Linked DNA regions of Macaca fascicularis. The protein of the gene in region 1 purifies or fractionates together with the protein of each later gene. This does not show direct contact. Links are inferred from orthologs where the notes say so. Each region holds a gene or a part of one and is shown in the gene's direction. Other genes may lie near its edges.

Region 1 (3,648 bases):
CGGCCCGATGAACAGCGGCACCGGGGCCACCTGCGCGAGCTGGCCCACGTGCTGCAATCCAAGCACCGGGACAAGTACCTGGTGAGGGGCGGGGCCATCAGGAGTCAGCCAATGAGAGGGGCGTGGGGTCCAGATGGGCGAGGCTAATCACTGACGTCACCAGTGGAGGCGAGGCCGCCAGTGGGCGGGACCAGAGGAGTGGGGGTGGGGTGGGGTGGGGGCGGGGGCGGGGGCGGGGGTGGGGTGGGGGCGGGGGTGGGGTGGGGGCGGGGGCGGGGGTGGGGTGGGGGCGAGGGTGGGGCGGGGGCGGGGCCCGCAGTGGCGCCTGGAGCGGAGCGGAGTATCCAGGAGCGCTGGCGACTTGGCTGTGACTGGCTAGGCCGGGCCTTAACTACCTTCTTATTTTCTTTCTTTCTTTACTTTTTTTTTTTTTTTTGGTGACGGGTCTCTCTTTGTTGCCCAGGAGGTGATCCGCCCGCCTCGGTCTTCCAAAGTGCTGGGGTTACAGGCGTGAGCCACTGCGCCAGGCCTGCACTTTGTTTTAGAGGAAGATTCTTTTTTTTTCTTTTTTTTTTTTTTTTTTTTTTTTTTTTTGGTGTTGTTTTGAGGCAGAGTCTGCACTCTGTTGCCCAGGCTGGAGTGCAGTGGCGCGATCTCGGCTCACTGCAAGCTCCACCTCCCGGGTTTGCGCCATTCTCCTGCCTCAGCCTCCCGAGTAGCTGGGACTGCAGGCACCCGCCACTGCGCCCGGCTAATTTTTTGTATTTTAGTAGAGACGGGGTTTCACCGTGTTAGCCAGGATGGTCTCGATCTCCTGACCTCGTGATCCGCCCGCCTCGGCCTCCCAAAGTGCAGGGATTACAGGCGTGAGCCACCGCGCCCGGCCTAGAGGAAGATTCTTAACTTAGGATCCACCTCCACCTCGTGCCTCATTGCCGGAGGTCCCTTCTGTCTAAAGCCCTCCCCCTTTATTTCAGCTCTTCAACCTTTCAGAGAAAAGGCATGACCTGACCCGCTTAAACCCCAAGGTATGAAGGAAATGGCTTGCCCAGTCATTAAACCAAGCCACCCCTACCCCAGAAGCCCCCAGCTTCCTCGTTATTAATAGTAGCGATTGGCATCTACTTCACTCTTAAGCACCTTCCCCCTCTCGCATGACATATTACTGGAGACACCCCAAAACGTGATGCAGCAGGTATCAGCCCATTGTATAGATAAGGAAAGTGCTGAGGTTATCATGGAGAACCAGCAGATCCCCAGCCTTGCCCCCAGACCCGTATGCCCTGTCCCCTTTCCACACCGCCTGTGTCTCTCTGTTGGTGGGCCCCAGCCCCAGTTGCACCCCTGCACTCTCCCCAGGTTCAGGACTTCGGCTGGCCTGAGCTGCATGCTCCACCCCTGGACAAGCTGTGCTCCATCTGCAAAGCCATGGAGACATGGCTCAGTGCTGACCCACAGCACGTGGTCGTACTATACTGCAAGGTGGGCCAGGACCTCGGGTTCCCTGGTGCCTGGAGGCTCCAGGTCAGCCTGGAGCCCCCAGACCCTCATCCCTGTCTCTGTCTCTCAGGGAAGCAAGGGCAAGCTCGGGGTCATCGTTTCTGCCTACATGCACTACAGCAAGATCTCTGCAGGGTGAGGCTCCCAGCACCGGAGTAGCCCCTTCCCCAGTGGCCCTTTCTCCAGCTGGCCCCTTAGGAACCATCTCCCCTGGAGCCCACCTCTTCATTGAGAGTCCTTTGCTGTCAAGTTAGCATTTCCACCTCCCTTTTATCACTAGTACAGCAACACAGTCTGCAGCAGATGGTCTGTAAAGTTTCCTAGGGCAGCCACAAACAGGGTGGTGTAAAACAGTGGAAATGGGCCAGGTGCCGTGGCTCACACCTGTAATCCCAGCACTTTGGAAGGCCGAGGTGGGCGGATCACCTGAGGTCAGGAGTTTGAGACCAGCCTGGCCAACATGATGAAACCCTGTCTCTACTAAAAATATAAAAATTAGCAGGGTGTGGTGGTGGGTGCCTGTAATCCCAGCTACTCAGGAGGCTGAGGGAGGAGAATCGTTTGAACGCGGGAGGCGGAGGTTGCAGTGAGACCACATGGTGCCACTGGACTCCAACCTGGGCAACAGCGAGACTCCATCTCAAAAACAAAACAAAACAAAACAAAAACCGGTGGAAATATACTGTCTCACAGTTCTGGAGGCCAGAAGCCCCAAATCAAGCTGTCGGCAGGCCCTTGCTTCCTCTGAGACTTGAGATGGCATCCTTCCTTGTCTCATTCTACCTTCTGGTGGTGGCCAGCAAGCCTTGGCGTTCCTCGGTTTGCAAACACATCACTGTAATCTCTGCCTCTGTCATCACATGATGTTCTCCCTGTGCATCTCTGTCTGTGTCTCTTCCTCTCTTCTTATAAGGACACCAATCATATTGGATTCAGGGTCCACCCTCCTTCAGTATGAGCTCATCTTAACTAATTATGTCTGCAATGGCCCTATTTCCAAATAAGGTCACATTCTGAGGTACATGTCTTTCGGGGGGATATAATTCAACTCATGAGATGGTTTTGTTGCCCCGTTTTACAGATGAAAAAACTAAAGTTCAGGGAATAATTGCCTGGGGCCCAAAAACTAGTAAAGTGACTGTACATGGTGCTTCTCATTCTCATTACCACCACTCTGGGCTTCCTCTAGACTCAGGGGATCATATCTCTCCTCCCTCCCCTGGGGCTCAGGGATGGGAGGCCAGGATGAAGACTAGTCCCTAATCCTCAACACTGGCCTTGCTGTCCCCAGGGCTGACCAGGCACTGGCTACTCTTACCATGCGGAAATTCTGCGAGGACAAGGTGGCCACAGAACTGCAGCCCTCCCAGCGTCGGTGAGCAGCCTGGGTGGGGATGGGCCAGAGGAGCAGCTCCCTTCATGGCTACCAAGGCCAAGACTCTCGTATCCATGCAGCACACCTTCACTGAGTGTGCCAGGGGCTGTGCCAGGTGCTGAGAATTCAAAGTGGACAAAGCCCCTGCTCTCATGGAGCTTTCATGCTAGTAGGATGGAAGGCAGTAGACCTGGGAATAAATAGACGAGGAGGTCCATCATAAAGAGAACCTTAAGGACAGTCGGGGCCTGCCACTATAAAGTGAAGCAGAGCTCTGGGGAAAGAGCTTTGAGGCAGAGGGGAGCAAGAAGGATTGAGATTAGATGCAAGGAAGAACTTTCTGGTGACCTGGTAGACGGGAAGGAAGTGCTGAGGAGAAGAGCCAGCTTTCTAAGGGTGGATGGTTGAAATGATACAAGGTGACCTCCAGAGGAAAAGGCTTATGTTCTCCTCGACACGCCCTCTGCCAGATACATCAGCTACTTCAGTGGGCTGCTGTCCGGCTCCATCAGAATGAACAGCAGCCCTCTCTTCCTGCACTATGTGCTCGTCCCCACGCTGCCAGCCTTTGAACCTGGCACAGGTGAGTCTGCCTGAGATGTGCTCCCTAGGGAGAGCCACCTTCAGGCCCCTCCACTCAGCACCCCTCCGCGCCTTCTCCTCTGCCCCTCCAGGCTTCCAGCCCTTCCTTAAAATCTACCAGTCCATGCAGCTCGTCTACACGTCTGGAGTCTAGTGAGTGCTCTATTCCCAGGCCCCTGACACTTCATGGC
Region 2 (4,210 bases), on another chromosome or scaffold:
AAATCAGCCCCACAACAATTGTTTTCATTTTTTTCATTTTGTTTTATGAAAATTTTGCTTATATGCATATTTAGACAACCACACAGAGGAAAGGAGGTGACCTAGGGAAAAGAATGTTTTCAATTAAAATTAAGCCTTATGTTTTATCTCATACACATTTTGCTGGGGAAAATAGCCATGTTATGACAATAATATTCTAAAACGCAAAATGTATAATTAACTATTAAGGTAAACATCACAGTCTGACTCTATAATTTTTTTTTATTTTTGTCTATTACTCATTTCAGTCGCAAGCAGTTGAATGTTTGACATAGAAAAATGAGTCTGTCACTTTAACAAATGGTACAATAAAAACACTCAAACAAAAATTTTAGTAGGGATTATTATAACTATAAAAAGAATATCTTTCTTTAAAAAATGCTACCAATGTTTTCTATCAATTTGGGGCTCGCCTGTTGCATAAAAGTAATAAGGAACAAGATGAAGAAGACTTCTATTGGCAAAGAATGATTTACATGCTGAATGACATAATACAACTGCATTCACTTAATACAGAAAAAAAAGAGCCTGCATTCAGAACCATTAAATGATCATTAACTCAATGTCTAAGAAAATGGTGTTTTAAGAATTGGCAGCAGAGAAATGGAAGAAAGAATAATTTGTTAGTAAAGAAGTTTTATCATAATTCACAACTGAAATTTAGGATTTGAGAAAAATGTCTTTGCTCCATTATAAGAATATTCTTTATTTTAGCAGGAAAACATGTCCCATGAGACCTACACACACATTCTGCCTTCAGAATTCAGCTGCTGTGTTCTGCTGCTGCTTCTCTTATTCAGACTGTTGGCATCATCAATACATGACTTTTGCAATCAAAAATCTCAAGGGGAAAAAATAACTTTGGTAGGCAGTGGATACATAACAAATGCATAGATTATTCTGGGCATTTCTTTTTATTTGGTAGAGTGAAATTTTTGGTGTTGTTGAGAGGATAAAAAAGGCATTTAAAAGTCAATTTTAAATCGGGATTTTCTGCTCTGTTATAAATTCACATGAAAGTTACAGAAAATATTGTTATGGTTTTGTACTGAATAGTTTTTGTGTTTGGAAGGCTTTAAAAGCTAGTACTATGTCCACTGTGCTATTCTGGTTTGGATATTAATCAGAACACAGTTGAGCATTATTTGAATTCACAGAGCTTGCCATGCTGGAAGCACAACCTTATATGTAGTGACCATGGACAGTCCTATTATGGGAAACCAACTTGAGAGAGAAGGCGGGTCACTTGCTTGTGCGCAGGTCCTGGAATTTGAAATATCCAGGGGCCTCTACAGAATCCTGGCATCAGTTACTGTGTTGACTCACTCAGTGTTGGGATCACTCACTTTCCCCCTACGGGACTCAGATCTTAGAGGCAATTACCTTCAGAGAAAAATGAATAGGAAAAACTGAAGTGTTATTTTTTTAAAGCTGCTGAAGTTTGTTGGTTTCTCATTGTTTTTAAGCCTACTGGAGCAATAAAGTTTGAAGAACCTTTACCAGGTTTTTTTAATCGCTGCCTTGATATACACTTTTCAAAATGCTTTGGTGGGAAGAAGTAGAGGACTGTTGTAAGTACAAAGTAACTAAAAATGTATTTTACTGTGGCATAATGTTTAGTTTGTGACAAACTCACTAATTAGGTAGATTGATTTTAAATTATCACAGTAGTTTGCAAAGAAGCATAAATGTTATATATACTGCATATATATATGTATTTATTCAGGAATATATATTTTTCATTGGGAAAACTTTTCAATAGAAATTGAGTTTATAAGTTTTTCTTTGCAGAAGAATTAAACACATGATTTCTTGATTAATAAGCCACTGCAGTAATAGAATATGCAGAATGTCATTTGATTATAACAGATTATTTTGATTGCTGTGAGATAGTTTGTATATCTCAGTTATTATTTTGACTAGTTGATACTTCTGTATTTAGTAACAGTTACATAAAGGTTACTGACCTGACATATATTCTCAATTGAACTAACTACTGTATAGGAACTACATGGAGGCCTAAAAGTTAGGAGAAGTTTCTCTGACATATGGAGAAAATAAAGAATAAAATGAGTTGGGATGGAAAATTGAAGGATGTGAAAAGTATTGATAAAGATTTAATTGTAATGTTGCTTTCTCACATTTACTATTTCAAATGCTCTTTTCTATAGCATACCATGATGATTATTTCAAATAATGATGTGATCTATGCTATCAAATGATCAGATGATCTCTTGGGAAAACAACATACAAACTTGAGGAACTCCTAATTATGTTTAGTAGTAAATTATATTTAGTAGATGTTTCAAGTCTATCATGAGCTAGCTTTTCAGTTCAATTTTTTAGTTTGTCTTCCATATAGAAATGCAACTATTTTGTTTATTTTTAAGAAAGTCATGATGACTATTGAAGGATTTAAAAATGGACTGTGGCACAACAGTAAAAATAATATATGATAAGGACTGTGTGTCCCAAAAAGATGGGAGTTTATCTCTTCCCCACCTATCTTTGACTTGTGGAGTATAGTTATTCTAAAATAGATATGAGAGCGATGCCTATAATTAAGAATGAAAAAATAAGTCTCTCCAAATAAGTAATGCTCCACAACTACTAAAAAAAAAAAAAAAAAAGGCAGACGTTTTACCACTGTGAAAAATTTGTGGAAATAAGTTAACATTGTCCATGTATTGAGTCACATTAAAAGCTACCAGATTTTATAATACAACATTTAGTTACATTGTTTGCTTGCTTCATAAATTTCTTTTGGTGAGTATCATTATTGCTTTTAGATTGAAAAACTATTATATTTACTATCATTACAAAAATATGCATGGCATATATCTGTTGTTTGCAATATACACATATACACATATTTTTATTTATCATTTTTATTTCTTTGATATATGTAATATAAATACTATCAAAATCGCTAGTGATTTTATATATATATATATATTCTATATAATTAACCACATATACCAGTATATAGAGCAATTTTGAAAGAATATATGCAATTCTGCTGGAATGAAGCAAGGTAAACCTATCCTCTGCTTTGTCATAGATAGTTGAAAAACTTTCAGTTCTTCGAATGTGAAGGAAGGTAATCTTTTTGGAACATGTCCTGTAGGATTTTTTCACACTGCATTTAAAAAATCATCAAGTAATGCCTATGCAACATGACAATGAGTTTGTTAAGGAAAATGGAGATATACTCAGGGCTATATTATACATTAAATTTTGTTGCTTGACAATATACTACTATTTGGATGTCTGACATTTGAATCTGGTTTGTAAATTCGCCTTAGTTTGAAAAACTTATAAAAGTACATTTTGTTTTTTAAACAGAATAGTTACTCTGTAAAAGAGATCACTGTATTGTCAAACACATTGTATTGTTTACTTTTAGAATTACTCAAATAATGCATTGTAAAGAATTATTCAAATAGTGTATGGCAAATAGATATTTCATTTGAATATATTTAAATGATGTAAGTCATCTTGAGGTCTAACAAAATCATCTTTTAGAATTTCATTTGCAGAATCTTTTAAAGACATCTTAACTATGAAAAAGAGATCGCTGATCTAAATTGATGATATACTGTTAATACAAAGTTTTGGTGTATCTTACATGGCATAACATTATGAAAAATACAACAGAGTATGTCATATAGATGTTATTCTAAACTTTAAAAAAGACTACAAAGTGTTTTATGCATAATTACATTATTTAAGGGGAAATAGGTGTTGGTTGACACTTCTAGCTAGACAGTACTGAATTGCAAATTCATCATTTGGGCAGAGATATTAATACAGCTTCCTCTTTATTCCTATAGCATTCATTTGAAATCCCTGTACTCCACGTCATTTGCTATATATGAAACAAATTGTCAAGTTTTTAACCACTTGTGTAGTTTAATAAAAGAGATTAAAATCATTGCCTTGGAAACATCAGGTGTTTTTCAAAATTCTATTTTATTATCTTTCATCAAAATTTTATCTCAAGAGTAAAACAAACTGATTTCCCAAACTTTCCTTCTCCTCCCACTTTCTATTGTAATATTTTCCTAACTTATTAAAAATGATTTATCATACTCTTTCATCAATTTATTCTTTATTTCATCACACATATGAGAAATACAATATTTTGGTATGCGTATATATGTTTATATAT
Region 3 (4,102 bases), on another chromosome or scaffold:
GCCTCCCGAGTAGCTGGGATTGTGCCACCATGCCCGGCTAATTTTTTGTATTTTTAGTAGAGATGGTGTTTCTCCATGTTGGTCAGGCTTGTCTCGAACTCATGACTTCATGACCTCAGGTGATCCACCCACCTCGGCCTCTCAAAGTGCTGGGATTAAAGGTTTGAGCCACCGCGCCCGGCCTTGAGCCACCGCGCCGGGCCCAGGTTTACACCACTGGTTCCCCTGCGTCTCAGGCCTTTGGGCTTGGATTGGAAGTGCACCACCAACTTTCCTGGGTCTCCAGTTTGCAGATGGCAGATCGTGGAACTTCTCAGCATCCATAATCTCGTGGCCAGTCCCTTATAATAATAATAATAATAATAAATTTATATATCTCTATATATCCTATTGATTGGTTTCTCTGAAGAACCATAAGACACCATCATTCTGCAAATATCCTTGAGGCCTGCCAATTGTGGCTTCAGAGTTTTAAGAAAACATGGTTCCCTCTTGAATTACAGGCAAGTAAACGAGATTACAAAACATTGACAAAGGCTTGGATCATACTGTTGGACCTTTGCTTGAGCTGTTCACCCTCCGTTGTCACCTCTGTGAAGCTGACCCCGGGCCTAACCAAATGTTCCTTTTATGCTGTTCTGGGGACGTTTTCTGCATGTCACTTAACCACATAGTATCACACCTAGTTGGTTGGTTCTGCATTTTCCTTCCCCACTAGACCGCAAACTCTCAGCTGTTGTTGGTACTACTAAGCTTATCTACAGGGCCTCAAAAGGAGCCGGAGTACAGGGCTAAGCGCTCAGTATACAGGGTACGAACCAATCAATGCAAGAATGAACGTGCCACCGGGTCTTGCAGGCTTGCAAAGTGCTACTCCAAGCTGATTTTACTTTCCGTGCCCGGGCAGCTCCCGTGAATTTCCGGGGGGAGCCGTGGGGAGCCAATGGAAGGAGAATGAGAAATGCAGTCCCACTGCACTCGGGCTGCCCACGTCCGGCGAGAGGCAAGGGATCAGACAACTTCTGCACCTCCCGGAAGCGGCTGCGCCGGCCCCGCCCCTCCGGAGGCAGGCGTGGCCTCATGAATAATGAATCACGCGGGGGAGGGGCCGGGCCCGCCCCTCCGGGCGGGAAGGGGGAAGCGCCGAGGCTGCCTGACTGGAATGAGGGTAGCTGCGGCGGCTGGAGCGGGGCCGGCCATGGCGGTGTGGACGCGGGCCACCAAAGCGGGGCTGGTGGAGCTGCTCCTGAGGGAGCGCTGGGTCCGAGTGGTGGCCGAGCTGAGCGGGGAGAGCCTGAGCCTGACGGGCGACGCCGCCGCGGCCGAGCTGGAGCCCGCTCTGGGACCCGCGGCAGCCGCCTTCAACGGCCTCCCGAACGGCGGCGGCGCGGGCGACTCGCTGCCCGGGAGCCCAAGCCGCGGCCTGGGGCCCCCAAGCCCGCCGGCGCCACTTCGGAGCCCCGCGGGTGAGGCGGGCGCGTCGCCTCCCGTGCGCCGGGTGCGGGTGGTGAAGCAGGAGGCGGGCGGCCTGGGCATCAGCATCAAGGGCGGCCGCGAGAACCGGATGCCGATCCTCATCTCCAAGATCTTCCCGGGGCTGGCCGCCGACCAGAGCCGGGCGCTGCGGCTGGGCGACGCCATCCTGTCGGTGAATGGCACCGACCTGCGCCAGGCCACCCACGACCAGGCCGTGCAGGCGTTGAAGCGCGCGGGCAAGGAGGTGCTGCTGGAGGGTGAGCGGGGCCGGCCGGGCGGGCGGGAGGGTGGGCGGGCCGCGGCGGCCTGGGCTCGCGGGAGCTCACTTTGTTCCTTGCCCCGCCGGCGGGGCGAGCCGGTTCTCTCCCCCTCTCTCCCCAAACCCGGGTTTCTGGAGCTTTCAGTGTGGAAAAACGGATGCTTCTTGCAGGAAAAGTTGGGCAGCCGCCGAAGTGTTACTTGCAGCCCCTAAGGAAGACTCGGCTGAGACTGAGTAAAAAGCAGCTGCCTATGAAGCCTCCTCTCGGCCCGATAAGCTGACACTAAGAACTTGAGGCAGAGCGAACGGCTCGAGTGGGTCTGTCTCCGTTTGCCCGCTGAGAAGTGCCGGGTTGGCGCTTAACTCACTCACCTCTGGCTCCTCGGGGCGGGTGGGTCTATTAAAAAAAAAAAAAAAAAAGTCCGTCCACACCGATGCCAGCTGTATGCTTGGGCAACCCACCAAAGAGCTGGTTAATTTATGGGAATTTAACCCATCATTGGCTCTCAACAATAACCAAAGGAGATCATAGCACTTCATTGAAGCCAGAAAGCTGAAACAGCAAGTCTGTGTGGTTAATGAACCTTGTTTAACAGTGGAGGCTCACGTGTTTGAACATTTACTGCCAACTAGAGTTTTGCCCCTTTTGCAAGTCTGCTGCCAGCTTCCTACCACTCACAGGCGCGCTATTAGGGTTTTTGTAAGAAACTTGAAATGGCAAATCACAAAATAGGTTTCAGTAACCAGGGTTATTCTTTACAGTAAGTTATATGTATGTGATCTGTAAGTTGGATCTTTCGTGATGAATTTGAACTAGGGCAAAAATAAAATTCCTCTCCTCTAAGAACTCATGCATGTTGGAGGTGATATTGTAAATTATAAACGAAGAGTCAGTTGCTTTCTTCATAAATTTTTGAGCGGTCAGCTTTCTTTCGCTGGTGATTATTGCTAGCTGTGTTGAAAAGAATATAAAAGAAGATGCTGTCCCTACTTGGTCTCTAGTTGGAGAAATGATAGAAAAATGCAAAACAACTTATAGGGAGGAAAGGAATGAAGTTGGCGATTACGTCGTGCAAACTATATTTAAATACCAAAGGAATGCAAAGTTAGAAAGTAGTGGAGATGGAATTAGCCAGGGAGGACTTTTTCCCGGAGCTAAATCTTGAGCCGGGTCTCCAAGGAAGTGATGGACATAGGCAGGCAGGGATGAGTCAGGAGGGTATTCCTGGCAGAGGAAGGACAGAAGGGAAGGGCTGGGGGCTGCTGGTGAAGAAGGACCAATCAAACCGAGGGGCCAGAAGTCCACCTTGGCACAATGGATTTTCACTTTCTTATAAATCAGCTTGTGAATATTTGGAAAAATACTGGTTTACCAGAAATGATTTCATGTACACCAGTTGTGAAATTCCAGTGTCCCACCTTTATAATGTCCTATTTATAAACCTTATTTATATTGCACGTCTAGGTGGGGCTAGACACTGCTCGGAAATTAGTGTTAATAGGAGTAAAATTAAGATTGTGGTTTGGGTGTGTGTATAAAAAAATTGTTACTCTAAACATGTACCTTGAAATTGGTCTAGCTAAGCATTTGGTTATAAATTCTTACATCCAGAATGCACTATTTATGTAGTCCTCACTTGTGGTGGGCAGACAATTGAACCTTTTACACCATGTTTAAAAAAAAAAAAAAAAAAAAAACCCCAACACTTTTTGGCCAGGCATGGTGGCTCATGCCTATAATCCCAGCACTTTGGGAGGCCAAGGTGGGTGGATCACCTGAGGTCAGGAGAACGTGGCGAAACCTCGTCTCTACTAAAAATACAAAAATTAGCCGGGTATGGTGGCAGATGCCTGTAATCCCAGTTACTAGGGAGGCTGAGGCAGGAGAATCGATTGAACCTCGGAGGTGGAGATTGCAGTGAGCCAAGATGGCACCACTGCACTCCAGCCTGGATGCCTAGCCTGGATGACAGAGCAAGACTCCGTCTCAAAAACAAACAACCCACTTTTTGTGTAGGTATAGTTTGAACCTAGTATTCAGACTAGTAAAATGAAAACCTTGTAGCAAATGCTTCCCAGTCTTTATTGGACTAAAATAGGCCATGTGTGCTTTTAGAAAGATGGCAGCATAATAACATGTTTATTGAATGCCTTTTTGCCTAACACACAGGTTCTACTTTATTTTCCCACTTTGTATAAGACAAGCAGTTTTTGTTCTTATAAGTTGTGAGGAAGTCAGTATAGTAGATTTATGACGTTGCATTTTGAAGCCACTGGGTGTAAAAATAAAATTACTCAAAATATGTAAAACCACTGAAAACAATGATTTAATTGAACTAGTCAAACATTATTTAAAATTGAGAGCTG

The links.
Region 2: the proteins of TNS2 (region 1) and DMD purify together in Homo sapiens (affinity purification with mass spectrometry; 3 studies listed by BioGRID and IntAct, with this or other methods). This does not show direct contact. The link is inferred for Macaca fascicularis from reciprocal best matches to the Homo sapiens genes TNS2 and DMD.
Region 3: the proteins of TNS2 (region 1) and SNTB2 purify together in Homo sapiens (affinity purification with mass spectrometry; 4 studies listed by BioGRID and IntAct, with this or other methods). This does not show direct contact. The link is inferred for Macaca fascicularis from reciprocal best matches to the Homo sapiens genes TNS2 and SNTB2.

Annotation. Positions count from the first base shown.
Region 1 is NC_088385.1:59,846,328-59,849,975, forward strand, and holds part of TNS2 (tensin-2), read left to right. Parts: coding exon 1-81; intron 82-977; coding exon 978-1,028; intron 1,029-1,359; coding exon 1,360-1,482; intron 1,483-1,570; coding exon 1,571-1,635; intron 1,636-2,791; coding exon 2,792-2,875; intron 2,876-3,345; coding exon 3,346-3,458; intron 3,459-3,549; coding exon 3,550-3,610; intron 3,611-3,648. UniProt on the Homo sapiens protein: Tyrosine-protein phosphatase which regulates cell motility, proliferation and muscle-response to insulin. Phosphatase activity is mediated by binding to phosphatidylinositol-3,4,5-triphosphate (PtdIns(3,4,5)P3) via the SH2 domain.
Region 2 is NC_088395.1:33,307,081-33,311,290, reverse strand, and holds the start of DMD (dystrophin), read left to right. Parts: upstream 1-1,343; 5' UTR 1,344-1,579; coding exon 1,580-1,610; intron 1,611-4,210. UniProt on the Homo sapiens protein: Anchors the extracellular matrix to the cytoskeleton via F-actin. Ligand for dystroglycan.
Region 3 is NC_088394.1:65,293,466-65,297,567, forward strand, and holds the start of SNTB2 (beta-2-syntrophin), read left to right. Parts: upstream 1-1,159; 5' UTR 1,160-1,162; coding exon 1,163-1,733; intron 1,734-4,102. UniProt on the Homo sapiens protein: Adapter protein that binds to and probably organizes the subcellular localization of a variety of membrane proteins. May link various receptors to the actin cytoskeleton and the dystrophin glycoprotein complex.